7 linked regions of the Coturnix japonica genome follow. The protein of the gene in region 1 purifies or fractionates together with the protein of each later gene. This does not show direct contact. Links are inferred from orthologs where the notes say so. Each region holds a gene or a part of one and is shown in the gene's direction. Other genes may lie near its edges. The genes, in order: IFT57, IFT22, IFT20, IFT27, TRAF3IP1, IFT74 and IFT46.

Region 1 (4,255 bases):
CTAAAGGGCTTCCCCTACTCCTCTGTCCCTCCAGAAAGGAGACCTACACACACTCTAACTTAGACAAGGCACAGGTTTGGCTGGGATTGCTGGTCAGTTCTTCTATCCTACACCAATACTGACAAAGAGTTTTGACTGGTGTGTGCAATTGTATTTATGGTGCGTGTGAATCTTACATCCCAAGGATTTTGCATGTAGCTTCTTCCGCAAAGCAAGAGTGATTTTATGTATTACCACTTTTTGTGGAGGGGGCCAGAGGGGCACCAAATTCTTAAACCTGAAGAAGAGATTATGCAAGAGTAAAACAACCTCAATATATTAATTTATTTGTACCTTTAGCTACAGTGACTAACTAGCAGCAGTTGCCAACGCAAGGAGAAAACAAGTTAGATACTGGAAAACTGTATGCATCAGGTTTTCCAGCATTTGCTTTGACCACCATATGAAACAAACAGCAAAAGGCTTTGTCACCTTGTTGGAATGTGACATTTTGTTTCCAATTTACCTGTACCCTGGCCAAAGGGTTCACCTAGCATACTTACTTCTTAGCAGCATGTGGGAGTGGTCACACATTACAACATTCCCTGTCTTGTCAGACAAAAGTTATTAGTTCTTAGGAAAAGGATTGTTTCTTTGCTTTTTAAGGTAACTTCATAGTAACTTCATAATGGCACATTCCAAGCACGTGCAGCCTTAAGAAAGCTAGAAATGCCTGAACACATCATGTTTTACTAAGGAAGAATCACACGCACAAAAAGTCCGTATCAGCAGTAAGCACAGAAAGGCTTGGAGCCAGCCATAAAGATCACCTACCATGCACGTCCAACCTTTTGGCTTGCAGGAACCTGTTCCTGTAGGGGAAAATAAGATTATTAAGACAATATATTAAATAGCATTAATGCTCACCAATAGAACATGCCTTAAATGCCAACTGCATGCCAATGTACCAAACGCAGACTCCAAACACAACTTCAGCCAGTGAGAAATACTCCCAATGGAACCTTTCTTAAGAAGCAGACCTGAAACGTCACATTTTACCTCACACATTTTGCTTCTACACCCCAGCTTTCACCCTTTCATGCCAGAGTGTTGCTCTGAGCACTATTTAGTTTTACCTCTTCAGAGTTCACGAACAGCAAAGCACCCGGAGCTCCTCTTGGAGGCAGGGAGCGAAGGTACAGCTTAACAGGCTTATATAACTTTTCTTCGGGGCTGTGCCCTTTCCCTTTCCAAAGCACTCCCATGGCTACAAGTCCTCTGCCCCACTGCGCTCTCTGGTACTGTATATCAGTACATACACTCAGAGCGAGGAGCACCAATCCCTGCGCTTTCTCTCACAGCAGCAGCCAATCCAGCTCCTGCCAACCCTGTGGGATGGGCGGAGAGTTTCCGAGCGCTGATTCGCCGTTGACCTGAGTGCGCTGAGCCGCCATTGGTGGCATGGAGGAAGAGGCAGACGGTGATTGGTAGAGCCGGTTGCTTCGGTTACGGGCTGTGGCGTGTGGTTCCAAGATGGCGGAGCGCGATGAGGACGGCGCTGTGGTGGAGCGGGGTCCCGGTGCGGCCTACACCGCTTTCGTGCTGATGGAGGAGCTGCTGGACAAGCTGAAGCTGCTGAGCTACGAGGAGGAGGTGCTGAGGCGACACAACGTGCGGCCGCTCTCCAGGTGCCCCTCGAGCGCTCCCAGCGGGATGGGGAGGTTGTGGGGTCGCTAGGGGGGGTGGAAGTGCCCTTCAGGGCGCGTTAGGTGTGGCAGCAGAACACCTTATTCTATTTAGTTTGATCCCAAATAGTGCTGTTTGTATAGATCGCACAGTAGGTGGGAGTGAGTGGAAGAATTTAGAAGCTCCTGGTCCAGGCTGTGCACGAGTGTAGGTACACCAACCTCTTGCCCATCTGGTAGCTGGGGAGTGTGGGGAAAGTTTGTTTAAGAGTCTGTTTTCCTAGCCTGTGCTCACTCATTGTGCTGTAATTAGGAATTAGGAAGTAATTAGTAAGTATTACTTCTCGGAAAGAGTTGTCAGGCATTGGAATGCACTGCCCAGGGAGGTGGTGGAGTCACCGACCATGGAAGTGTTCAAGAAACGCTTGGATGTGGTGCTGAGGAATATGATTTAGCCTGGAAGTATTGGTAATGGTTGGACTAGATGATCTTCTAGGTCTTTTCCAACCTTGATAATTCTGTGATTCTGTAATTACCTCAGTAGCTCAAAACACCATTGCTTACCATTTCCCCTTTCTTAAACAGGCACTATTTTGCACTGCCCACTAATCCTGGTGAGCAGTTCTTCGTGTTCTGCACTCTCGCCGCTTGGCTGATCACTAAAGCTGGGCATCACTTCGAACAGCCTCAAGAATATGATGACCCCAATGCAATAATATCAAAGATACTCTCGGAACTGCGATCATTTGTAAGTGCTGAACATGCTGTTTTTTCAAGTGCATTTCAGGCACGGACGTGACCTTCATAAATATCAGGAATAACATGTTTCCTGTCCTATCTGATTATCTTCCCAAGGACTGGACAGGCTTTTCCTCTCTGTGCGTTTGAACAATGTTAATTAGAAGTTATTAGATATTTATACTGTCTGTATGTACTACTTTGTTTTTTGACGCTACAAAAATGGCCATAGAATATTATATTTAGTTTTGTTCCACAGTCTGTAAAATGGATTAAATCAAGATTTAATCTTGATTTGCTTCTTGTAGTGTTACAAGTGCTGTTCATTTATAGTGGCATAATTTACACAGTTTACCTTAGAAGCTTACACAATATGTACTCACATTCTGCTCATGCCAAGTTCAAAAATGGAATTAAGTGCAAAGGAAATATTTTAAGTTGTGTTTGTGTTCTCTGGAGAGACATCTGCAACAAACAAGGCAGTGATTAAAAGAAAAAGGAAAAGCATAGGTTTAATCTCAGTACCCAGGTTCCTCTGTAGCTGATCTTACCTTGCCAGGATGGCACTTTTGTTCTTAACCATCTAGTTCCCTTACAGTTTGATTCTTCTGCTCACTAAACATCACTTACCATGTTTAGGATTTCTGCACTGCATCTGTCCCTTGAGTTGTTTTGTTTTCCAATCCTGTTGCCTGACTGGAGCTCCAGTGGAGAAGAATGTGAAATAGCATTGGTAAAATCTTTTGGCATGATGGACGCTTGGGTTTTAGTTAAAAAAAAAATCTGGTTACTGCTTTGAAATGAAATCGATTTATAGCCATCAGTAAACAGCATCATATCTTTTTGTTTTAGGGAAGGCCTGTGGATTTTCCTCCCTCAAAATTAAAGGCGGGTTATGGAGAGCAAGCCTGTTATGTTCTTGATTGTTTAGCCGAAGAAGCCTTGAAATACAGTGGCTTTAGCTGGAAAAGGTATAGTACACTTGGAAGAATCCTCATATACACAATATTTTTCAACAAACGAATAGAAATGGCAGTTATAAAGGGAGGCACACAAAATATAATATTGTCCAGAAATGTTTTACTTGACGTTTCATGAGCTGCAAAATTAAGTTAGGCTTGAAGCAATGGAACAAGGTGATTCCTAATACCACTTCATGCATCTTAGTCTTTTGCCAGCAAGAGTGAGTTTGGGCTGTCAGTAGATTAAATTAATTAATTAAGATTTGACCAATAGCCTCTATTTGGTCTCTTTTTTTGCGAGTAACTGCTTGTTAATCTAACATTTGAGTTGAAATGTTTCCTTATCTGTCTGTTTTGGTCTCATCAATCAGTAGCTAAATCCAGCTCCTCAGCTGGAAGCTCACACAACATGTGATCCTATTACAAATAGACTACTATAACGTTATGTATTGAATCCAAAAGAAATCTTCACAGAGTTCAGATGGCAAACGATTTCAAGTGTATGGCAATTTGTTTAAAATTGCTCTTGATTTCATCCCCTCCCTCTGGTGTGTTTTTAAATTGTATGGCAAAGTAATTTCTACTTTTAAAGTATCTTATTGCTACCAACATTTAGTACACAAATTCCAAAATAGGCTACAAATGAGTTTGTGGAGACTTGCACTTGAAGTTTTAGAAGTTAGACCAAAGGAGAAGATGAATGAAAACTTAATCCCTAGATGTCTTAGCAGCATGAATACAATTTATTGCTTGGCCTGATTACTTGTCCTCACTTTTAAGACAGTCTGAGGTAACCAAAGACTTTGAAGGTTGACAATAATTTAATTTGTTTAAATGTGTGGTACAACCACTGTCTGTTCATGTTCCACATTATTCATACTTAACCTGAAA
Region 2 (4,300 bases), on another chromosome or scaffold:
TGCTGAGTGTTGGCCTCTCAAGTCAAAGCTGTCAATCACACCAAGTCCCCTCCAACTCGTACTTCTTGAAGGGAGGGAACAAAAGAAGGCAATGGACTGGCACGTTTAGCCACTAGGTGTTACTGTTGCTCCACAGAAACTCAGAGTAACAAAAGCGACATCTATTAGAGGCATCCTAAACAGTTTTAGCTTAAGAGTTAAAACCACCGGAGCTAAATCTCCTCTCTAGATTCACATACTATGAACCAGAAAATAAGAGTATTGGGATGTGTTGACTTGGAGGGGCCTCTGACTTGGAGACTCTTATCTGCAATTCAAGCAGCAAGCACCACATGTCATGATAGAGCAATCACTGCATCTCTGTTTGAATTCCCACAGACATTTCCAGTGCTAAGAATCATTTTACTAACATATTATTAATAGCCTGCAATTGCTTTGGAAGGAAGAAGGAGGATCTGTCCGCACAGAATCATCTGGAGATCATTTTTGCTTGCTACCAAAACGTTATGGTGAAAAAGCAGCCATATCATAAATGCAAAACATACAGACCATTACCAGGACAGCCTGGAAGCAGTTCAATTACAGATTGAGTTTTCAGCCGATGGATCAGTAACTAACGGAACTTTAACTCCTAAGGCAGATGCTGATTGTAACATCAACATCAAGATGCTTTGAAAACATCACCCTAAGCGGACAGGCAGCTTAATTCCTACTTTCTAAAGCGACCTGAAGCCCTAAAGCACATGAATAGATCTGAAAATCACACCTGTGCTCTCCTTGTTCAGTGGCTGATACAAACACAGGAGGATGTGATCTGATACTTCATCTACAAATCAATCCCTATTGCATTCTGGGCAGCTGCACCAGCAGCCAGCTTTACCCATTTTTAGTCCATTATTTCCTTCTAATTTGCTGCCCACAATCCAGCCCTTTAGATCACATTTCCCTCCATGTACCTGTGGATGTGCCAGCTAATAGAACTGCCTTGATCACTTCCCTCTGGGTCACCCATCCCATTTATTGGGTCTGAAACACGAGAAATACCGCAGCAGCACAGAGCATTAAGGACAGGCTGCCCCATGCACTGTGAATTCAGCCTGACTCACACACGTACCCCCACAAACCAATAACACACAGACAGAACCAGCTCCCAGCCGAGAGCAGAGCAGCCCTGACTCACATTTAGAACCCGTAATAAACATTTATGTTATGGGAACACTTAAATGCAATGTTTGAAAGCTCGTCTGATAGCAGGGCTGTACGTGGGCACCAAACAGCTCCGGAGCGGCACAGCTGTGTGCCAGATGGCAGCTCGGGGCTGCTTTGTTTGATTTAGCTGCCATTTAAAGCACGTTTACAGGGTTCACAGACCACCCGCTCCCCCCTCAACTATTACAACCGCAACACAACAGCGGCAACGCTGAACTGCCCTCATCACCCCGGCCGGCCCTACTTTATACCCAGCCCTTCCACCACGTGACGGCAGCACAGCCAATCGCAGCGCACCCTCCCTCTCCCCCTTCTCTCCCTCCCGTTGCTAGGCCACGCGTGGGCGGCCGCCATGTTGAAGGCCAAGGTGTTGCTGGTGGGGCCCTGCGAGGTGAGGGAGAGCCCTGAGGCCGCTGCTTGTCCTTAGGGCTGCATGTAACCCTTGGGTATCCTCATCGGGGACTGAGACTGACCCTAAAGGGCTGCACTTCCCAGGCGGGGCCTCAGTGGGACGGGGCAGAGGGGCAGGACTGTATGCAGTTATCTCAATGGAGGGCAGGGTGTTGGGAGCAACCCTGTGTTATTCCATTCGTTGTGGCTTTGGTGCATTGAATTCATACGGTTGTCTTTTTATTTTCTTGCATGTATCAGTCTGGAAAATCCGTGTTGGCAAATTTTGTTTCAGAGAGCATAGAGGGAATTGGCAGCTATGTCCCGACACAAGGAGTAAGGTGAGAACAACAGTGTAGAATGAACCGACCTGCAGGAGGTGGTGGATAATATCATGTACCTGCTTGTGTTCACAGGATCCTGGAGTATGAGAAGCCGAACTTAAATGGGAACAGCAAAGGAGCTGGGTGTCGATTTGAGCTGTGGGACTGCAGCGGTGATCAGAAGTAAGCAGGCATTGCTGTTACTTCCTCTGGGTTATTCAGTTCATATTAATCATGTATACACAACGTTCTCATGCATAAGACCCTGAAAGCAATGATCTTTTGGAGATGAGGAATATTCCCACCTCTTCACTCCTGTATGAATATGTATTGCTTTCTATTGTAAAGCATTTAATACTGGGTAACCCTCTCTGTGATGCCAGCTGACTGTGTTAGTTTTGATTAAGGACTGAATGTAACAAGTCCATGGTTCTCAAAATGAAATCAGAGGCAAAGCAGAGGCCCTGCCTTTATCTGTTTGAAATTATTTCATGAATGGATTTCAAATAATGTATTTATATGATGGAGGCCTTTAATTTCCCGGGATTACAGTTCTGAACTGGACAGATTAGTTTTTAGGAATAAGTAAGAAGGTTTATTTGGAATATCATAGATATTGGCGAGATCACTAACATTATTTTCACAAAAAGCTACTGAAATCATAAAGTCATAGAATTGTATGAGTTTGAAGGGACCTTTAATGGCCATCTGTGAACAGGGACACCCACAGCTCCATCATGTGCTCAGAGCTCCATCCAGCCTGACCTTGAGTGTCTTCAGGGATGGAGCATCCACCAAGGTACATTGTTGAGGTGGGGAGAAGAAAACTTTGCCAAGTTTGACTGCATGTTTCCATTTTCCAGCTATCAGTCTTACCATTTTCCATGCTCCTCTTTTTCAAGGTTTGAAACATGCTGGCCAGCTCTTATGAAGGATTCTCATGGCGTAATAATAATCTTCAATCCTGAGCAGCCCAGTCACCTGAAAGAAATCGAAATGTGGTACTCGTGTTTCGTGCAGCAGCAGCCACTGCTCGATAGCCAGTGTCTCCTCGTTGCACATCACAAGCCAGGCAGTGCAGAGGACACAGAAAATCTGTCCTTAGGTGAGAATACAGAATGTTGCTCAGAGTTTTCAAACAAGTTCTTATTATAAGTATTAATATATTAATACATATTTAACATAACACCACTCTAATTTTGATATAATTCAAAACTCTTAGCAATTCAGTAGTAAAATGCAATTCAGTGCTGAATTATTCAGTTATGCCTAATTGAATGTGAGACCAATGCCAATACTTTGAGTCTTAATTATAACATTTGAGGAATTTAAACTAGCAGCAAGTTCTTGTTTGTCAAGCTATGCTGCATTTCGTTTTCACATTATATGTCATTTGGGGTATGAGACATCAGATACTACTGAATTCCAGCTGATGTCTTCAGCAAGAACTGTCCCATGACATTCATCATGAGTGCTGCATTTAGGAACATGCCTAACTATTTTTTTCTTGCATTCAAAGCTTACCCATTGAACAAGCTGAAACTGATACATTCCAACTTAGAAGAAGATCCTGAAGATGTTCGGATGGAATTTATGAAATACTTCAGAAGCATTATAAATGTATTAAATGAGAGCAGAGAGAAGGAAGAAATGTCAATTATTTCATAACACTAGAAGAAAATAAAGAGAAAGGATTGTTTTAACTTTGTAAGCCGTGCTAGCAACATCCTTTGCAACTTTTTGACTCTGGCAAGTCAAAGTTGCAGCCTTTCTCATGACAGCTTTTCCTCTACTGCAACAAACTCACCCTCGTTGGGGACAAGATATGGGTCATGTTGAGTAAGAAGGAATCAAAACCTCAGTGCAGTGCAATTACTTTGGCCTATTCCTGGAGCTCCAATAAGCTGGAAAATAAGTGCTGCATTTTTCAGAGGAGGAAAAGCTGCTTCAAACTTGGATTACTGTTCCCTGTTGTACTGAAATAAGTGGTTTCATAGTTGATTTACTTTCTGTTTTGTTTGGTTTACATTCATCCCTGTTCTTACTGTATTCTGCTGTGGAAGGCATTTTTTGTAATGTAATACTAAGGCAATAAAATTGTCTTTATAATAAAATTGCATCTTTTTTTGCCCTCAAAGGGAAAGTGAATTACATTCTTGTATGTCTTATCAACTTCCTTAATTATTAGTGAGGAAAGCTGTGATAAATTTGTAGTATGTTTCACGCTAATTAGATCCAACGAGAGAAGTTTGCAAAAACTATGGACTCAGATAGCCAAAGAAATGATGAATGAAAACCAGAGGAATATATCTATACTGACACTTTTCTTTTTAACCAGGGGACAATTTACAGTAGAGAGGACCAGGGCAGCATCCCAT
Region 3 (3,432 bases), on another chromosome or scaffold:
CGCCTAAAAAATGTCTGGTCTTTGGAGTATTTGTCTCAGTTAAAAGCCAGCACAATATTGCTCAGAGGAGCAATTCCCCACCAGTAACCCAGCAACAGCAACTAGCAGCTGCTTATTACAGTTGTGTTCTGTAAGAAGTTAATTGCACAAATAAAGCAGCTCCAGAGAAATCCATGTTGCCAGCAACAAAGTTACTTTTTGTCAACTCTAGGTTATATTGTCATACACCGAAGTAAACCAGAAGCAGCAGCAGCAGCGCACTGTCCTACACCTACAACCTCCAGAGAAAACAGCACCATGGCTCAGGGCTGCAGGTTTGCCCTCGGTGTCCCATCCTGCTTCAGACCACAGGAGCCCTTCCTCCAAAATAAAAGCGTGTTTTTAAGGACAGCCAGAGTCCGTAACGAGCTCTGGGTGTGCACGAAGCTTTCCAGTCTCAGCAGCGGCATCTCTGAACACGTGCACTAGTGAAGGTTTCTGTAGTTGCCGCACCTCCGGCACGTCGCTACGTTTCTGACCAAGAAGGACGAAGCAAAAAAACAACCAAAAAGCAAAATGAGAACCCGCTGCACAGCGTGTCCGGGGAGACAAAACGTCACTGAGGTCCCTGATCATCGATCACGTAGGAGGCTCCTGCGATAAACACAGACTGAACCTTTAATTACCCACATTAACACACGCATAAATGTTGCCCCGTTTCCCTTCCGGCCGGAGCGCAGCACAACAACGGCACCGCCGTCAGGAAGCGGCCCCTGTTCAGCACGGCCACGAAAAGGAGCGGGACTAACGGCGCGAGGGGAGAAAACGAGAAGAGACAAAGGAAAAAAGACGCACAAAGCAGAGAAAGCAACAGGACAAAGCGACAACTGCGCCCCGAGCTGAACCGGCGGGGCCCGGACACGCGCTCCGCCCCGCCCCGCTCTTCCCCTGCCCCGTACCGGCTGCGCGGGCCGCTCCGGCCTGTCCGGGCAGCGCCGACCGGGTGTCGCGGGGCCGTCGGGCGGCGCGTCCGTGGCCTCCGCAACGTCCCCGGCCCGAACGCGGCGGCCACACCGAAGTTCCGCGTCCGCAGCCCCGCCCGCGCGGCCCCACGTCACCGAACCGCCCGGCCCTACAGTCCGCTCACCGCCCGGCCCTACAGTCCGCTCACCGCCCGTGGCCGCCGTCCCCCCCGCTGCAGCCCGTCACTTCCTGCGCGCTGCGCCGCACCCTGCAGCGCTTCCTGTGGCTCCGTGTATCCGAGCGGTGCCGGGATGGCGCAGGAGGCGCTGGGCGCGGCGGGGCTGCACTTCGACGAGCTCAACAAGCTGCGCGTCCTCGACCCCGACGTGGCGCAGCAAACGGCGCAGCTCCGCGAGGAGTGCAAGGCCTTCGTGGACAGTGAGTGCGGGGCGGGGCGGGGGGCGCCGCTTCACTCCGCGCAGCGCTGACAGCCACGAACGCGGGACCGTTTTTCTTTCAGAAATAGCGCAATTCCAGAGCACGGTGGGCGGCCTGATCGAGCTCATGGACCAGTTGGCCAGAGCTGTCGAGAGCGAGAAGATGAAGGTACGGTCCGTTGGGGCTGTCCTTGTAGTCACACCTCCTGGCAGGACGCAGCTCATGGTGGGCTCTGAGGACAGGGCTGTCCAACGATTCACGCAGTAAAAACCTCTGTAACTACCTCAGAAACGTGCACTAATACACGTCACCAAGCGCTCTTTATCTTCTCACTTTATTATGGGGTTGGAGATGAATTTTCAGCACAGCTGTGATTACTTTTCCCTTGTTTGTTCTGTGGGAGAAACTCCTGAGCCTCCTGTTGGTAGCAGCCACCAGGGGGTCAGTTTATTTCACACTGTTAGGAATATCCCAGGTTGGAAGGAAGCCTCAGATGCCTCAACCCGCCCAGCCCCTACAGGGACTGTGTTTGCTCCACAGCCCATCCAGCAGGACGATGCCCCCTTTGCTCTTAGCACGGCTGAAAGACTTTCATCGCGACCTGCTGGTAGTGAAAGGGGTTAAAACTCCTTGTACAGATCCATCACAAACGTCTGTTTTGACAGGCCATCGGTGCACGGAATCTGCTGAAGTCTATAGCAAAGCAAAGGGAAGCACAGGAACAGCAGCTGCGGGCTTTAATAGCTGAGAAAAAGATGCAGCTGGAAAGGTGAGCTTCCTATTAAGTGTTTTTGGGGCATGGACGTAATAGTTGGGAAAGAAAGCTGTGTAGATGTGAGAGAAACAGCCACGTACTGAGAAGGATCATTTCTAATGGCTTTGTGGCTATCCGGATAGAGGTGATGTGAGATCATACAACTGTGGAAATTAATAAAACAGTAAGAGTGGCAGGCAGGTGACTTCTAAAGGCTTTTTAGAACTGTCAAGTCTAATTCATGTGACTGTTGCCTTAAAAAGGACACACACGAAGCCCTGAGCTTCGCTCTCAGACTGGTGAGCACTGCACTAAAATATCAGCTGGTAACCTATTTTCTTTGTCTTTCAGATATCGAATAGAATATGAGAGTCTGTGTAAAATTGAAGCGGATCAGAATGAATTCATTGACCAATTTATTTTTCAGAAATAGAAGACTTTAAGATAAAGACCAGCTTGGAAACACGAGCATTCCAGACTCTTTGACTATTTCAGAAATATGCAATTTTTCACTGTGTGCAAATAAATAAGGATGGTTTGTGCAAATAAAAGTGTTTTTTAATGCAGTGTGAGTTACACTACAAGTGGCAATAAGGAGGGCTTTCTAACAGCTGTAAGACTGTTCTGTCCTTTGATTTTTATAAAGGTTTTATACAGTCAGTAGTTCAGATTCAATCTGTAGTTGAATTAATACTGCTGTTCCTCTGTTAATGTCTCTCTCCCTTTTTGAAATGTACAGCTCTTTCAATGAAATCAGGCAATAAACTTTTGTTTGTCACCTACTTGGACATACCAGAATTAGCTTCTTCTGCTTTGTTACTGGGGAGCTCGTAAGTTTGTGACTCCCTGGATCGTCATCATGAAGGACTTCCCTCATATAGCCATTTTAACACTCCTAGCAGCATAACGTGCAAAAGAGAGAAGCAGTGGTTGGTAACTCCTGCCTGGGAATTCCTAAACTGGTCAGAAAAATTGGTGATTAACAGAACGGGGCAGTTGCACACAAAGAGGAACAGAGAATTAAGATTAAACTGTGTTTGAAGTAACATTGCAGTGGAATACTGCAATTTAACCGTAGGACTTCAGACTGATGAGACAAACAACCCTCAGCGTGTAGTGGCACCAGGAACGCATACAGACCATAGATATGAGCATGGCATTTAAAAACTGAATGTCTGTGACCTAAAATCAAGGCTCTTGTTCAAACAGCAATAGATGCATTTTACACCTGTCTTTAGGCAACCACATAAGAAAACGCTGCCCTTTTCAAAGCTTGTGGGAGGTTTAAGTTACACACC
Region 4 (3,500 bases), about 31 Mb from region 1:
TCGAGTTGTGGAACAGAAACAAGCGCAGGAATGGGCTGACAAACACGGCCTGGAATACTGTGAGATGTCAGTAGTGAGTATCTGCTCTTTTCGCCTTCTATAGAAGTGGGAATTTGTGAAGTTATCTTCTCTTTCAGCTGAGGGTAAATGACTGGGGACTCATTTCCACTTATTTGTCCTTTAACTCACCCTCAGTTTTAGTCTCTTTTGTGAAGCTGTTTGAACAGAAATAGTGAAATGCTTAGTTATCTGTCATTTACAATTTTCTTTCTACAGAAGGAGATGAAAAATTTTGAGGCCCCTTTCAACATCCTGGCAAAGTCATTTTACCAGCTGTACAAAGAAAAAGTGGAAATCTTTCATTCACTGGCTTGAGGGCCATGACTGGGATGACTTATCTTCAGAGCTTCTTCTAGTGCCCAGAATCCTATGGACTGGAATACAGAGAGAGGAAAAAAGATGAGCTTTTTGCTTCTTCGCGGTCATCTTCTGGTAATTCAAAATAAACTAGAAATAAGTGAGTGGACAGACATTGTTTTGGAACTGCTACCTTAGCATCACCTTCATGTCTGTTACCTCGGTTCTTTGCTAACTGAAAGTCTGTTAGGTTGGAGAAGGCAGGGAATAGAAGGGGGAAGGCAGAATGGAAATTGCCAGCTTTTTGCCTTGTTAATAGTGCCTTGTCTCATGTCTGAACAAACTTTCTGCTGCTACAAGCAAGGATGTAGAGATTTGAAGGAGGAGATGGGAAGCTGGCAGGATACTTTTTTGCTTAAGCAACCCAGCACTGGTACATACATCGCAGGGCAGGACTGATTCAGCCCTACTACTTGCTAAGCATTTTCAGTTGAAAGTCTGTGGCCTAAAATGGACGCGTAGCGTCTCAGATGTGTGGGGATTGAATTGGATTTAGGTGTGTTTGTGGGAGCACCCACAATTTGAGACCTATTTTAACAGTGTTATTCTTATCAGTTCTAGGATTGATATAGTGATGACTAACATCTCTTTTTAATGACTAGAATTTGGTTTTCTTCAACGAGGCTCTTCCACTGCTGGTCTGTCTTGCATCTATACCACTGTCAATTGGTAACGCAGTGCCCTCTGCTGGCCCTCGGTCACAAAATTTCTGGAGCAGCTTGCTCTGTTGAAGCAAGGACTTCACACAGTCTTAGCCAAATTGGCTTATCTGTAAAATGGAGTCATATGGTGAGAATACCTCTTTTATTCCAGGGGCAAGTCTAAAACGGAAATTGCCATTTCTTCTTCATGCGCTTGTTATTTTATTTGGTTTTATTTCATTTTGTATCTTGTCAGCTGAACTTAGCAACATCATGTTCTCATTAGGCTTAGTTCTCAATCCCTTACTAGAATCAATCATCTTTGTTGTTAAACTTTCCCTGCTTATCCTTGCATTTCAAAGAACAAGCTATTCTGATTTCAGAAGTGGAAACAGGACTCAGGAAATAAAAGACAAACTGGCTAAGTGAATTTGATTCAGCCATGTATAGCTGGAAGTTTTGTATCAAAGGGTAAAGGCATGGACAGAACACTCTGTGTGAGATGTTGACATTGCATATATAAGAATTGCTAATATTTGCTAATGCAGTATGTGAAAACATCCAGTTAAGTACTGCCTTGCAGTTCTAAACTGTAACATTTCCCCTCTTCCAGAACTATTTTAGCCTCCCCTGGGTAAGGAAGGCTAATTTCTGAGGAGAATAAACAGTAAGTAGTTTTTCAGGCAAGCTTTTCAGGAATCTGTGTTTCAATATTTTTATACGTATATTTTATAACCACTTTTATGCCCAGTGCTAGGAATATGACTGCAGATGTTGTAGCAGAGTTTATGAAGCACTTCAAGAATCTGGAATAGCAGCTGGGCTCATTTTACTGGCAACACTATGTTGATGCTGGGAATTAGCTAGGGAGCATGAATACAGTCTAGAGGTTAAGCAGGCACTGAGCCTGCTGGAAAAGAAAATGAATAGGTTGTTGTTTTGTTTTGTTTTGTTTTTACAAATCCACTTGGAAAAAGGTGACAGAACTAGCTGGGGAAAGCTCTTATTTCAAGAAAAGGAGGACTCCTCTGTGGGCTTAGGGTCACTAGACACAACTCACCTTCTTTAGGCTTGGGTTGGCTTTAACTTACATGTGTTGCCTTGTTAATCCTGAGGGTGTGTGTTGATTTACAATAGACTGAATGGAAGTTTGCCTGCACATGCTTGTACCTCTTACTATTAGGAATAACAGTTATTTTGGATGTTGAGCTGATCTAAAGGAGGTAGTTCATTTTCCCCTGCTTCTACTGATGATATGATTGCAACACAAGACTTTTTTTTTTCATCTTGAAAATAGAATACCAGGTGTGTCTGCCACCTGTGATGTGATAGATGGGGGCAGGGAGGTGAATGCCTTAGGAATGGGTGATGAAATGAGTCCTGAACGATCACCTTTAACGGGTGAGTTTAATCTCTCTGCACCAGAAAGACCTCCCATAACTTCAAATAAACAGCTTAAATGCACCAGTAAGATTGGTGAACATTGTTTTATTAAATGAACACAAAAGCTGGAGGATCTCATTAAGGGAGTGCTGGTGGTGATTTGTGATTTATTGGGAAGCTGCTTTTGATAGGTTAGTGAAGAAAAATGCATCCTATGCAGGGGAAGATATATTGCCCAAGTGAGAAAATGTATGATCTAATTAGCTAGCAGTAGGGATTCATCTGGTGCCCCTTTCCTTCTTTCTGCAGGCCAAGACTTGAATTAGAGAAGAGGTTGTGTCAGAAGCACATAGCCCACCTTGCTCTTCATTTCAAGCACTAAAGTAGTCATAATTTAACATCCTTCAAAATACTGTGTTTGTTCATTACCATCTCCATCGTCTGAATGGATTTTGAAAGCATAATATATTGTCTTTTTTAGCTACTAGGCTGTGTAACAGTAGCGTGATGTGGGTGATACTATTTTCCTAGTTCATTTGTGACCGTAGTTATAGAGACCAATAGTGAAGGGTGAGTGGAGACCATGGGAGTCAGATACAAACAGGCTGTGGAAAAAATTTGTTTATGAAGTGAGGATGTTTGTTTGTTGCTTATAGCCTTTGTATCTCCCTGAATTACAGGTGCTGCGGGAGACAGTGGGAGAAAGGCAGAAATCATGTCTGCTGGCCATTGTTGTCTTCTTATAGCTCTCCTACTTTGTCTAGGTATGCAGTGCTGTAGGTGTTACAAGGATAGATAATGCCAGGACAAAAAGAAATGGTTTTAAGTTCAAGGAGGAAAGAATTAAGGTGGATGTCATGGGTAAGTTGTTTACCAAGAGAGTGGTGAGATGCTGGCAGAGGCTGCCCAGAGAGGTAGACGCTTTGTACCTGGAGGTGTTCATGACCAGGTTGGATGGGGCCTTGGGCATCCTGATCTATTATTAGATATGGAGGTTGGTAGCCCTGCATGCAGCAAGGGGGCTGGAGCTTGATGATCCTTGAGGTTCCTTCCAACCCA
Region 5 (3,941 bases), on another chromosome or scaffold:
GGTCCTCCTTTTTATAGAGGTGGTAGTGGGTTTGGGTGTCCACCTTCAGTTCTTGTTTCAAAACAAGTACTCTGCAGTAATACCCAGTTAGAGTTTCTCTGCCTAAGGTATTCTTGGACATCTGAGTATAACCTGTGTAACCCAATGAAAATCATAGGAGAAAGAGGATGTTCCCAAGCACACGGTGTCAGGACTTCTCTCCTGAGCACAACACTGCTCTTAGCCACGCTAGAAATCCTGCCTGTGAAAGGCAGCTTTGGGCTCCTGCTTCTGCCTGGTAACACAAAGGCACACAGCCACTGAATTCAGACTTTAAGTGGGCACAACTTTGAAGAGACAGACAGGGTGCTTTCTGTTGTCAACATGCATGTATATTCCCCAGCAGAAGAGTCTCCAGACTAAACCTCAAGCAATCTGTTACAGTGTTAGGATACCTTTTAAATTGCTGTGCCTCCCCTTAGTACCACGGGGACTCATGGAGTCTTAGTGAGTTCCTTGCTTTTGATTCCTCAATTAACTGAGCTGTGCTTCCTTGGGGCACTGCCTCTTCAGCAAATTGAGCATGCCAAAGGTCAAGCTGAACTAAACCCCCACGATTCATTCTCAGGCATTACAGACACTTTCATAGAGCTGGTGGCAGAAATCCAGATCAACCATATGATTCCAACATAAACAACCCTCTTCCCTAGAGCAGCTTCTTCCCAGTCTGTTTCCTCTGAGACCTCTTGGATGTAGAAGCTGTCAACACCTTTTCTTCTTCCTAGGATTACAGGATCCTGTAGTCACAGCCTGTCTGGGAACCTCATTAATTTCCGAGTGTGTCAGTCTGTTGTACTTTATTTAAAGAACAATGACTAAAAATTAATAATCACCAAAAGACATATTAACTGAGCACCGGTGCTTCACTGTTTGATAGTTATTAATACAACCACTGCATTTGACAGGTTGTATGGGATTAGATACTTCTCCTATATGTATATATATATCTGCAGTGCATTGACCCAAGTGCAACACCTCACACTCGGCCTTGTTGACCCTGGTTATATTCACATAACGTAGGCAGGGCCTAAGATGGCGGCGGTGCCTGTTGCTATGGCTGCGCGGTGCTTAGCAACCGCGTGCTGCGGCTCCGAGCATGCGCAGTGAGGCGCGTTGCGCCGCGGGGCAGGCTGGGAACGCTGAGAGCCGGCGGCGGCGCCGTCCCCGCCGTCGCAATGAACGAGGCGGTGGTACGACGGACACAGGAGAGTCTGGGGCGAGTGATCCGCAAACCGCCCTTGACGGAGCGGCTGCTGAGTAAGCCGCCATTCCGATACCTGCACGACGTCATCACCGAGGTGGGCCTCCCCGCCGGCGGGGCTCGGAGAGTCGGCGCCCCCTGAGCAGGGCGCCCCCTGGCGGCTGGGGGTGTAACCCCGCCTGGGGGGGGCACGGAGGGGCGTGGGGTCCCGGCTCGTGTTGTGTGACGCGCCGTGCTGGAAGGCAGCAGCCTTCTGCTCTAATATAGTTATCATTAATGATAAGGCCACGGTCTAGTGCCGCCTAATGCTGTTCTGTAGGAGCTTCGAGTGCCCTTAACTCGATCCTTTTCCTTGTCTTCTCAAGGTGATTAGAGTGACGGGCTTCATGAAAGGGCTTTACACGGATTTTGAATTGAAGTCAGATAATGTCAAGGTGGGTACGAAGCTTCCTTGTTTATTCAGCCTGAATAAAAACGGGCTCTGAGACGTGCTGCAAGGCACCTGCGGTCTTTGAGGTCCCTTCCAACCCGGGTAATTCTGTGATTCTGTGTGTGATTCTTTCCTGTGTTCAGCTTCCATTGCTTTATTCAGGCATGGTGTAGAAACAGTGGGAGGTATGGTGGGCTTTCTTTGGATATGTTGAGGTGTATCAGAATGTTCTGAGTTGGAAGGGACCCCAAAGCCCAAACCCTGCCATAGGCCACCTCCCACAGAACACATTGCCCCAGTGCCCCGTCCAACCTGGCTTTGAGCACTGCCCTTCTCCAGGCAGCCTCACTGTTTCCTCCTAACATCTAACCTAGATTTCCCCTCTTTTAGTTTAAAGCCATTCCCCATTGTCCTGTCACTATCAGACTGTGTGTGAAGCTGGTCTCCCTGCTGTTTATAAGCTCCCCTCAAGTAACAGAACACTGCTTGAGTGTTTCTCTGGATCCATATATATATATATATGCACTTTATACACGCATACAGAAGATATTATTGCTTAATAATGCATCTTGTTATGCGTGTTCTACAACAGTCTTATTACCATTATTACAGCCATTATGAAAGTCTGATTACTGAAAGTAATGCTATTAGTGAAAATGCTTTTCTTAAGTGCGAGGGTGACTCAAGTCTGTGTTTGCTCACCTTCTAGTGCTTGCCTCTTTTGCTAAGCAATGCATGCTGCCTTCTCCCAATACCAGCTAGGCTCAAAACTCGTCACTTACTCATGGCAGATAATGCATGTTGTGTGTTGCTAGTTAAACAGCTACAGCCATTGGTGATTGTTTAACATAGCAACTAAAGCTACTGGCTCGCCTATAGCTAGTTAAATGGGTGGTTTATTCACTTCCTAGGGCTGATAATTGGTTCCGTGAAAAGTAGCTTAGTACATGGTTAATTCTCTTTTTGGAGACCACTGTCCATTTTATTTGTGGATCCAAAAAGCAGATTTCGTAGGCGGGAATTATCTGTAAACTGCATCAAACTGACAGAGCGTGCAGCTGGATGGATCTCAGTGAGTTGTGTTTCCTGTCAGCTTTATATGATGTGTATGTAAACCAGGTTGGATGGGACCCTGGGCAACCTGGTCTAGTACCAGATCTGGAGGTTGGTGGCCCTGCCTGTGGCAGGGGGTTGGAACTTGATGATCCTTGAGATCCCTTCCAATCTGAGGCATCTTATGATTCTGTGATTCCATGAGTCTATGATTATGTGCTTAATAGAATGTTGTGCAGCTGATTCCTCCTGTCAGAGGTTTCCTAACCTTGAGGTGGTGTACGGAGTTATTATAGGATCTCACAGCTATTTCTGAATTGTTTTTCTAGGATAAAGATGCCAAAATCAGCTTCCTTCAGAAGGCCATCGATGCTGTGGTAATGGTGACAGGAGAGCCACTGTCAGTAAAACCAGCACGTGTTGTGGCTGGGCACGAACCTGAGAAAACAAATGAGTTTCTGCAAGCCATTGGGAAGTGTTGCTTAAAAAAGGTATGACATCTCCATCTACATCATTACAGAGATATGTATTTGTGTTATACATTATCAGAGCTCATTTGTGGCAGAGTTTGACACTCATTAGCTACTTTTAATTACAGAAGATATACTGTGTTGGGTTACCACTATAATAACAGATGTATAGAATGTGATCCTAAGCAGAGTTTGAGCCAGGTCCCCATACAAATACATTCTAGATATCCATCTAAAAACCTGTGAAGTGATGAGTGAGAAGAAACTGCTCCTTGAACAGCAAAATACTACAGTATTCACAAGCTGTGTGAAGGTTTTGTCTGGGTAATCTTTGTCTGATGATCTGATAGTTTACACTGCTATTATTTCCCTTCAGTTAACTGAATGAGACAGACTTCTTCCTTGTTAATTGCTTGAGATTGGCAGGGAGGAGGTGAAATGGGCTGAGTTTGATGGTACAGCTTTGTACAGCGTCGTGATGAGATGTAATAACCAAAGGCTGATGTCTGTCCATTCGAGCCAAGATTATTAGCCCTTTGTCTTTACTGTGAAACATAAGCTGGATGTGCACTGTGGAAAAGGTTTGGATTCTAACTAGCTTTATATCTAGTGTTGCTACAGTAGATAAAAAGCACCACCTGTTTATATAAGCCTAGTATGCATGATCAAATTATTGCAAGAGTTACAAAGAGGTGTTTGATTTAGAAGAGCAGAAATATAAGGTGCGTCTCAAAAGAAATAGAAAATC
Region 6 (3,500 bases), on another chromosome or scaffold:
GTTTTGTTTTTCACTGTGTTTCAGTTTTACATTTAATTTTTTTTTTAATGTTATTTTTTGCAGAAGCAAAACCAGTGAACTCACAGCAGAAATTAACAAGCTGCAGGAAGAAATAAAAATGTACAAGGAAGAGAAATCTGCTTATTTGTCATATGAGAGAAGGTGAGCTCTGTGGCACCTAACGCAAAGTTAACTTTCTCAATCACCAGACTTTGTTCTAGGCTACTATTCAGGCTTCAAAGAACCATTGAATTAGTCTTTTTTATTATTTCATTTGGATTAAATAACGCTTCCTGTTTTAAGTTTGGCTTCTTGCTTTGTATTCAGGGCAGAGGCTTTAGCTGGTGAAATCAAAGAATGGCAAGGTCAGCTCGAAGACTACAACATGGTATGCTTGTATCAGCTTTCTATACTGAAAACACGCTTTGCCCTTCTTTCCTTTGTTTGCTACTGATTTCGCTTTACTTCAACTTCTTTTTTCATTGCTGTTTCTCCTTAAAAGTGTAGTGGATAATGATTCTGAGTTTATTCAGTTACCAGAAGAGGAAAAAAGAAAACAGAAGCTAAGGAGAAAAAAACAAGAAATTTTGATATGTGTAAGCATAAGGTGTTGCTGATGCAATTAGGAAATCAGCGCTGTATGATAATTGAGTTTGTACAGCCGCATTAAATGAGAATTACTTCTTAGAACTGTGTGTAATCTGTTCAGGTTTAAAAGTCAAATCTTTTTGTTTCTAGATAAATACTGTATTTTCACAAATGCTTTGTGAGTTGCTACTTATTTTTCTGTTTCTTTTTTTTGTGTGTGTGTGTATGTACTTATTTTTGCTTTTTAACTAAGTAAGAATTCTGACAGGTTGAAATTCTGTCTATTATCAGGTTGTGGATCTACTTAATACCAATACAGACATAGCAGAAGTGATTCGTGATTACAATTTGGTAAGAATTAAGATATTTGGTATATTTAATCAACGGAATGGCATAGATTAGATGTCAGTGCTTTGAACACCTGACTTGTATAGAAAAGCACAATACTAGTTCAGAATATTTATTGTCTTTTCTAGTTTAAATTGGACATAATACTTGGCAACGTTATGTGTTTGCAGTGAGTTAGCCATGTAAAGTCTGGGCAGATGATAGTGCTTCTGTGAAGATAGTGCACCTGTGTCTTGGATTTGAGAAGGCTGTTTCAAAGTTAAATTGCAAGTGTTGCATTACATTATTTATCTGACTAAAAAGCACAGAATGCTGTGTGTTATGTTTTCTGTCATAAATAACTCCAATCAAGTCTGTGATGTGGACAATGTTTTTCATGATAATGAGATGAATTATCCAAGTATTAAAGCTTTCAAAGCATGTTCCGTTTCTTGAGACTACTTTTCCTGTTACTTTGGTAGCTTGAAAAACCACCTGTGTGTTTCTTGACCATTTTTATTTTCCGTGTTTGACTGAAAAATGAAGTCTCATTGTCTGTGTCACAAAGGGAAGAGAGCTCTGTTACACTTGCATTCTACCTCTGGGCTTAAGCAGTATTGTAGTAGTGGATCCCATAGTAATAGTATGGAAATTGATTTGCTACAGACTTGCTTGCACTTCTTTTTCAAGCACAGAAGGGCAGTGGAAGGCTACAATTTCAGAAACTATTTCTTCAGGACAGCCTCAAACAGCTCTGGAGCAGGAGGCCTCTGCTCCTCCTTTCTCTACTGCATTCTGAGCAGCTTCTTTCTCCATTGCAGAACCTTGAACTTGTGCATACACTATGTTTTCTTCTTATATATTATATTCAAATATATATATTTTTTCTTTTTTCTCTAGTTAAAAGTTCAGAATGACCGAGAAGCTCAGAGTGTGGATAAAATTTTCATGGAAAGACAAACGTAAGTGCACGACTTATATATGCCTGTCTAATACTGCCAACTCTTGACCTGAAAACGGTAAAATGGAGAAGTTACTGAGTTCAGAAATTTGTCAGCAGTGTCATCCATGAAAGTGACGATATCCCAACATTTTAGATCATATATCAGTGTCAAGTTGAAGCTGGAATTTCTGCCTTTAAATTCTTCTGAGTAACTACTGCGGTGATAACTTACCTTGTTATCCAGAAAGAAATAGGTGGCATTGAATTCTCCTGGTGTGTGGAGACCTACGGATTGCAGATTATGGGTGTTGTGTTGTAGCAGACAGGGAAAAGTAAAGCGTAAGTGGGGACTGGAACTGCAATTCCTGTCTGGTACAGTAAGGATGCATATAAAGAAAGTGAGCTGTTTGCAATAGGGATTTGTAAGTCATGAGAACAGTTGGTGATAGGCTGAAAGGGTGATATTTGTAAAATAGCGTTTTGCCATTTATTAAGAAGGCATTTTTCACTAAAGCTGTGGTTTTCAGCAGCTTGTAAATATGTCTGGTTTGTCTGTCAATATATTTCTAAGTGTTAACAAGGTGTGCAGAGACTTGGTATGATCAAGAACTAAGGCATAAAGGTATCAGATAAGTAGTGCTGCTTATCATTTTACTGTATGTGGGCACATTTACGTTGGTCTACTGATTCAGTGTAGATATTTATAGGTATTTGTTTTGCCTGTTAATGCACCGATCTGTTGGATTCCGTCCCCCAGTCTGTGTTCTATTTCAGTGATTTAAACAAAGAGTTTTTTGTTTCTGGCTTCTTCATCTATATGGTGTCAGTAATTACATCAGGCTCACAACCTCCTTTTAAGGACTTGGTCCTCTCAGGCAGTGTGGAGTAACCTCTTTTCCTCCCATAAATCATAGTGCCTTTTCTCAAACGTGAATCATCAGTATTCTATCATGTGTCAAAATATTTGTTGTGACACTAACGTGGACGTGACCAAATTTGTAACCTTTGTGATTTGTGCAGCTGTTCTCTGTCGCAAAATTCTTGAGATGCGAGGCTGCTTATGTTCCTTTTATACTGTATTTAAATAGCATAATATGGAAGGCTGAATAGATTGAAGAGTCAGTTCATTGTCCATTGCGTAAGATATTAGCTCTGCTCAGTTCCATAAGTATCTATGTATTTGTCCTCAATAAAGCCATCTTCCTCAGGTTCAGAAGTGTTAGTTTTGTCAAATATTACTATGGGATCCTCATTGTTTGTATCTGATATCGCAGGAAAAGAATTCATGTCAGCTGAGAACTCCTGTTCAAACATCTCAGGGTCGTTTTCTTCCAGACGACGGTGTCTGTAGCTCATCAAATACTGGTACCATGTTGGGCATTTTATGGCAGTAAAAATTAGGAGTGTAGTGCTTAAGACAAACCCCAGCACTCCCACGAGGAAGGTCCAGCTTTTGCCGAGAACTGGAAATTCTTTTAAAACAGACAGGAAAAAAAAGTTAGTTATATCTTCATGTGTAATCTCTGAAAGAACTCTAGTATGAATTTCTTAGTAGTTAGATTGAGAACACCTAAACAATCACAGGGGGATAACTGATTTATAATAAAGCCTGAAAAAATCACTTGTTTTATGGCTTTGATGA
Region 7 (4,269 bases), on another chromosome or scaffold:
CTGCCGGGAGACGATGGCCTTCCCTGCCTTGGTGCAGACAGCTGCCGCCAACAGCACCTATAGGGACACAGACACAGCATTGAAAGCTCTCAGTCCTCCATTCAGGCTAATGCAACACCTTTTCCTATAGGGCTATGACAAAACCCCAGCAATGCTTTAGGCAAAAACTGACTTATCTGTTAGTTCAGCCCCAGCAGAAAAGTCACAATAAAGACCAGAACACTTTGAAATGTGACATCTCTTCCCAGTGCCACACTTAAACTAAGCCGGGTTAATAAAATATTGACCATTATATTAATTACAGCACGTGGATGGTTCTCCTGGGCATTTCACTGATGTTATCACACCAACAATAGAAAGGCATTAAGGTAACTGCCAATTCACCCTTTCTCATTCTCTCCGCCTCGACTTCGTCCTGAAATACTTCTCTCACAGATTAGTTTCTTAATTAACATAGTGAAGATAAAGCAGTTTCTAAAGGTAAGATCCTTTCACTCCCCAGCCAGTTTTAATCACAGTATCCTAACAATGAGAAGCACCAGAAGTTCTTCAGTGTCTGTACATTTCAAGCATGAACCCCAGCACGGCCAGGTGAGCAGCCAGCAACTGCTGTACATTGAGTGGCCATAGGAACCCTGTAGTCAGGGATATCTTGAAGAAAGCAACAGGCATAAGCCTCCATTTCCCAACTGCTCTTTGAAAGGGCTGTGAGTGCAGCACAGCACAGCACAGCACCGAATGGCACAGCTGATCTCAGCAGCACCTCGGCCTCTGTCACCAAGCAGCAGGTCCCGTTCGGGGACGGAAAGCTCACAGCTCCACGTCACCCACAGCCAACGGGACACAAGTGACCTCCACCCGAGCTGGCAGCTGAGGCAGCAAGAGACGAGGCCTGGTTACAGATGTCAGCCTTAACGCTGCAAGCAGCCTCCACGTTACACATCACGCAGCGCACAGCGGGCAGTGCCCCCCAACCGCCCTGCGGCAGCGCCCGGTAAGCGGAGCTGGAGGCTCCCACAGGCCGCGCCACGTCCGGGCCCGGAGCGCAGCGTCACCCGGCGGGGCAGCACGGCCTGGAGCGGCCCGGGTCCATCGCGGAGCTGCGGAGCGATCCGACAGTGCTCGGGGACGAGGCCAGAGAACGGCAGCGGAGCCGCCGAGCGATGAGCGGCCTGGCCAGGCCCCGCGAGCTCTCCGACCCCGGTCCGGCCGGCAGCGGCCCCACGAGCGGCGGCTGAGCTCTGGGCACAGCCTTACCATGGCGGCGGCTCATGGCCGGGCACACCCTTACCATGGCGGCGGCGCTCGGCTCGGCGCTCGCTCCCTCGCGGCTCCGCGTCCCCTCGGGCAGCCCCACAAGATGGCGGCGCCGAGCCACGTCCCCAGCCGGAAGCGGCGCCGCGCACGACGCGAGGGGCGGGGCGGGGCGGGAGGACCCGGAGCGCGGCCCTGGGGGCGGCCCGCGTCAGTACCGGCCCCGGCCGGCAGGGGGCGACACCCACACGCGGCTGCGGGGCCGGGCCGCGGGCGCCGCTCTAGCCGGGAGAGGGAGAGCGAGACGGGGTCGCCATGGCGACGGAAGGCGGCGTCATGGCGGAGCGGCGGCCGGCCGAGGGGAGCGGGGACGGGCCGGGCCGCGCCATCGCCTCCCCGCGACCCTCCGCACAGCCTCGGCCCGTGGAGAACCAGCCGTACGACGAGAGCCTGGAGCTGCCGGACACCGAGGAGGCGGCGGGGAGCGAGAACCGGCCGCAGGGATCCCGCCGGCCGGGGCCGATCTGGTCGGGAGGAGGCGGCACGGGAGCGCGGCCCAGCGGGGCGGGAGAGCGCGGCAACGACCGGGAGGGAGGAGGAGGCAGCAGCAGCAGCAAGGTACGGGGGGAGAGGGGCGGTACGGCACGGGACGGTACGGCATGGTATGGTACGGTATGGTACGGTACGGTACGGTATGGCACGGTATGGTACGGTACGGTACGGTATGGTACGGTATGGTACGGTATGGTGCGGTATGGTACGGTATGGTACGGTATGGTACGGTATGGTGCGGTATGGTACGGTATGGTACGGTATGGCATGGTATGGTACAATACGGTATGATACGGAACGGTACTGCACGGTACGGTACGGTATGGCTCGGTACAGTACGGTACGATACGGTACGGTACGGTACAGTATGGCACGGTACGGTACAGCACGGTATGGTATGATACGGTACGATACAGTACAGTACGGTACGGCACGGCACGGTACGGTACAGTAAGTAAGGCCGCGTCCCTCCTGCCCTGAAGGAAACAGTGGCCAGGCTGGGACCCTCCACCGCCAGCGAGGACGACGATGATGACGATGATGATGATGATGATGACGATGATGAGGATTCCTCCGAGAGCGACTCTGAGGACTCGGAGGAGCGCGGGGCTTCACTGGAGGGGTGAGCAGCGGAGGGAGCCGGGAACCCGTGGCTTAAAAGGGTTGAACAGAGTTGTGCACGGACAGGAAGCCTCTTACAGTGAGAGTGTCCTGCTTCTGCTTTGGGGCACAGCTGGATCCATGTTCGTGCCTTTGTTCTTGTACAAAAACTGATAGGAAGTAATGTCTGCAAGAATTGCTTTTCCTCTCTTCAGTGACTACAACCTCGCAAACTATGACTACCTGCCGGTATCTCCTGAAATTAAAGAACTCTTTGAATACATAAGGAGGTGAGTTGAAGGAGCTTTCGCCTGCCCTGGGTTCTCCTTTGTCTCAAGGTCTTTGTCTCTGGCAGGAAATGTCAATTGCCCACTATGCAATCCTGTTGTTTTTCTCTCTCAAGATACACTCCGAAAACAATACAGATTGAGCACAAACTGCAGCCTTTTATTCCAGACTTCATTCCTGCTGTTGGAGACATTGATGCCTTCCTAAAGGTACAGTGTTTTCAGATATCCCCATACCTGCTGACACACAGGGTGAAACAGAAGGTGGTTTAGATATGAGCCTGGCAGACTGCAGCCACACTGACCTGGTGGTAGCGAGGTGCCCTTGCCCTGTGCTGCAGATACTGCTGTAGACACCTAGGAGATCACAAATAGCAACACTATGACCTGGCTGGTCACTTTGGTAACATCCCACATAGCACATATGTAATTTGGTGCAAGGGCTGCCTGTTTCTTTGTCCAACACCTTATGCATTTCAGGTACCGCTGTGTTAACAACTCGTATTTTCTGCTCTTTCAAAGCATCACGCTTACAAATTTCTTCTGAATTGAGTCTGAATTTCTAACAACAGGGAGAAGCTGTACAGAATAGTTCCAGCATCCCCTGCTACTCCCATAGAGGATTCCTTCTGTGTTTTACCTGCAGGTCCCACGCCCAGATGGCAAGCCTGATAACCTCGGTCTGCTGGTCTTAGATGAGCCATCAACAAAGCAGTCAGATCCCACAGTACTCTCTCTTTGGCTAACGGAGAATTCCAAACAGCACAACATTACAGTGAGTCATGGGGAGAGAGAAAACATTTACTGCACCCAGGCTAGAATGAAGACATTGCACTTTACTCTTTGTGGGACTATAGCAACACAACACAACTGATAACTTGGCTTTAAAAGCAGAAAAATAACCCTTTTTGACCTATAGCTTTAAACTGAAATGTATCTAAGCCCTGCCTCAGGCAAGTCTCAGTACAGACTTAGGAAAACCACCACAAAGTGCTTCCAGGTTTCTATTTTTGTTTCAGCAGCAGATAAAAGTGAAAAGTGTGGAGAATGCAGAGAAGAACCCCAAAGCCATTGACAACTGGATTGAAAACATCAGTGAACTGCACCGCTGCAAACCTCCTGCCACTGTCCACTACAGCCGGTGAGTCATTATGTCAGCAGAACATCAGGTCAGTGGGTGGCAAAGTCCAGGAGCACTGAGCAGGATGATCTCAGTGTCTCTGAGAGGAATAAGACGTGCTGAGTTTCAGGCCAGTTGTTCTAGCGTGTTTCTTTAGCCTTAGTGCTAAGACTGTCTGTCCCATTCACAGCAATGGCAGTAGGAAGCCATTTCAGCTTCTTGCCTGCAATCCTAATGTTTCTGTTTTTCTTTCTTCCTTTACAGGCCCATGCCTGACATAGAGACCCTCATGCAGGAGTGGTCACCAGAATTTGAGGAGCTCTTGGGAAAGGTATGGCATCCAAGTGTCAGGCACAGCATTACAAATTAAAAATGTTCAGGGCTCAGCATTAAAAATGATCCCACTTGAAATCTAGATTTCTCTTCCTCTTTGACCAGTTTGCTTGCACCCTGTTC

Evidence for each region.
Region 2: the proteins of IFT57 (region 1) and IFT22 purify together in Homo sapiens (affinity purification with mass spectrometry; 3 studies listed by BioGRID and IntAct, counting the BioPlex papers as one, with this or other methods). This does not show direct contact. The link is inferred for Coturnix japonica from reciprocal best matches to the Homo sapiens genes IFT57 and IFT22.
Region 3: the proteins of IFT57 (region 1) and IFT20 purify together in Homo sapiens (affinity purification with mass spectrometry; 3 studies listed by BioGRID and IntAct, counting the BioPlex papers as one, with this or other methods). This does not show direct contact. The link is inferred for Coturnix japonica from reciprocal best matches to the Homo sapiens genes IFT57 and IFT20.
Region 4: the proteins of IFT57 (region 1) and IFT27 purify together in Homo sapiens (co-immunoprecipitation; 3 studies listed by BioGRID and IntAct, with this or other methods). This does not show direct contact. The link is inferred for Coturnix japonica from reciprocal best matches to the Homo sapiens genes IFT57 and IFT27.
Region 5: the proteins of IFT57 (region 1) and TRAF3IP1 purify together in Homo sapiens (affinity purification with mass spectrometry; 3 studies listed by BioGRID and IntAct, counting the BioPlex papers as one, with this or other methods). This does not show direct contact. The link is inferred for Coturnix japonica from reciprocal best matches to the Homo sapiens genes IFT57 and TRAF3IP1.
Region 6: the proteins of IFT57 (region 1) and IFT74 purify together in Homo sapiens (affinity purification with mass spectrometry; 3 studies listed by BioGRID and IntAct, counting the BioPlex papers as one, with this or other methods). This does not show direct contact. The link is inferred for Coturnix japonica from reciprocal best matches to the Homo sapiens genes IFT57 and IFT74.
Region 7: the proteins of IFT57 (region 1) and IFT46 purify together in Homo sapiens (affinity purification with mass spectrometry; 3 studies listed by BioGRID and IntAct, counting the BioPlex papers as one, with this or other methods). This does not show direct contact. The link is inferred for Coturnix japonica from reciprocal best matches to the Homo sapiens genes IFT57 and IFT46.

What each region holds. Positions count from the first base shown.
Region 1 is NC_029516.1:78,426,430-78,430,684, reverse strand, and holds the start of IFT57 (intraflagellar transport protein 57 homolog), read left to right. Parts: upstream 1-1,455; 5' UTR 1,456-1,512; coding exon 1,513-1,667; intron 1,668-2,249; coding exon 2,250-2,412; intron 2,413-3,254; coding exon 3,255-3,373; intron 3,374-4,255. UniProt on the Homo sapiens protein: Required for the formation of cilia. Plays an indirect role in sonic hedgehog signaling, cilia being required for all activity of the hedgehog pathway.
Region 2 is NC_029534.1:2,514,441-2,518,740, reverse strand, and holds IFT22 (intraflagellar transport protein 22 homolog), read left to right. Parts: upstream 1-1,500; 5' UTR 1,501-1,561; coding exon 1,562-1,600; intron 1,601-1,854; exon of another isoform or gene 1,855-1,860; coding exon 1,861-1,940; intron 1,941-2,015; coding exon 2,016-2,105; intron 2,106-2,429; exon of another isoform or gene 2,430-2,640; coding exon of another isoform or gene 2,641-2,734; exon of another isoform or gene 2,735-2,824; coding exon 2,825-3,027; intron 3,028-3,441; coding exon 3,442-3,590; 3' UTR 3,591-4,073; downstream 4,074-4,300. UniProt on the Homo sapiens protein: Small GTPase-like component of the intraflagellar transport (IFT) complex B.
Region 3 is NC_029534.1:8,043,255-8,046,686, reverse strand, and holds IFT20 (intraflagellar transport protein 20 homolog), read left to right. Parts: upstream 1-1,222; 5' UTR 1,223-1,253; coding exon 1,254-1,380; intron 1,381-1,462; coding exon 1,463-1,548; intron 1,549-2,045; coding exon 2,046-2,149; intron 2,150-2,485; coding exon 2,486-2,567; coding exon of another isoform or gene 2,568-2,577; 3' UTR 2,578-2,932; downstream 2,933-3,432. UniProt on the Homo sapiens protein: Part of intraflagellar transport (IFT) particles involved in ciliary process assembly. May play a role in the trafficking of ciliary membrane proteins from the Golgi complex to the cilium.
Region 4 is NC_029516.1:47,150,678-47,154,177, forward strand, and holds part of IFT27 (intraflagellar transport protein 27 homolog), read left to right. Parts: coding exon 1-73; intron 74-276; coding exon 277-375; 3' UTR 376-3,500. UniProt on the Homo sapiens protein: Small GTPase-like component of the intraflagellar transport (IFT) complex B that promotes the exit of the BBSome complex from cilia via its interaction with ARL6. Not involved in entry of the BBSome complex into cilium. Prevents aggregation of GTP-free ARL6.
Region 5 is NC_029522.1:3,293,141-3,297,081, reverse strand, and holds the start of TRAF3IP1 (TRAF3-interacting protein 1), read left to right. Parts: upstream 1-1,141; 5' UTR 1,142-1,214; coding exon 1,215-1,337; intron 1,338-1,605; coding exon 1,606-1,674; intron 1,675-3,052; coding exon 3,053-3,214; intron 3,215-3,941.
Region 6 is NC_029547.1:60,476,065-60,479,564, forward strand, and holds part of IFT74 (intraflagellar transport protein 74 homolog), read left to right. Parts: intron 1-63; coding exon 64-162; intron 163-327; coding exon 328-388; intron 389-879; coding exon 880-939; intron 940-1,815; coding exon 1,816-1,877; intron 1,878-2,317; exon of another isoform or gene 2,318-3,004; coding exon of another isoform or gene 3,005-3,330; intron 3,331-3,500. Other genes in the region: LRRC19 (leucine-rich repeat-containing protein 19), read right to left, coding at 3,005-3,330. UniProt on the Homo sapiens protein: Component of the intraflagellar transport (IFT) complex B: together with IFT81, forms a tubulin-binding module that specifically mediates transport of tubulin within the cilium. Binds beta-tubulin via its basic region. Required for ciliogenesis.
Region 7 is NC_029539.1:4,769,186-4,773,454, forward strand, and holds the start of IFT46 (intraflagellar transport protein 46 homolog), read left to right. Parts: upstream 1-1,469; 5' UTR 1,470-1,569; coding exon 1,570-1,872; intron 1,873-2,288; coding exon 2,289-2,428; intron 2,429-2,621; coding exon 2,622-2,696; intron 2,697-2,809; coding exon 2,810-2,903; intron 2,904-3,339; coding exon 3,340-3,468; intron 3,469-3,712; coding exon 3,713-3,834; intron 3,835-4,077; coding exon 4,078-4,144; intron 4,145-4,269. Other genes in the region: ARCN1 (coatomer subunit delta), read right to left, coding at 1-57, 1,258-1,260. UniProt on the Homo sapiens protein: Forms part of a complex involved in intraflagellar transport (IFT), the bi-directional movement of particles required for the assembly, maintenance and functioning of primary cilia. May play a role in chondrocyte maturation and skeletogenesis.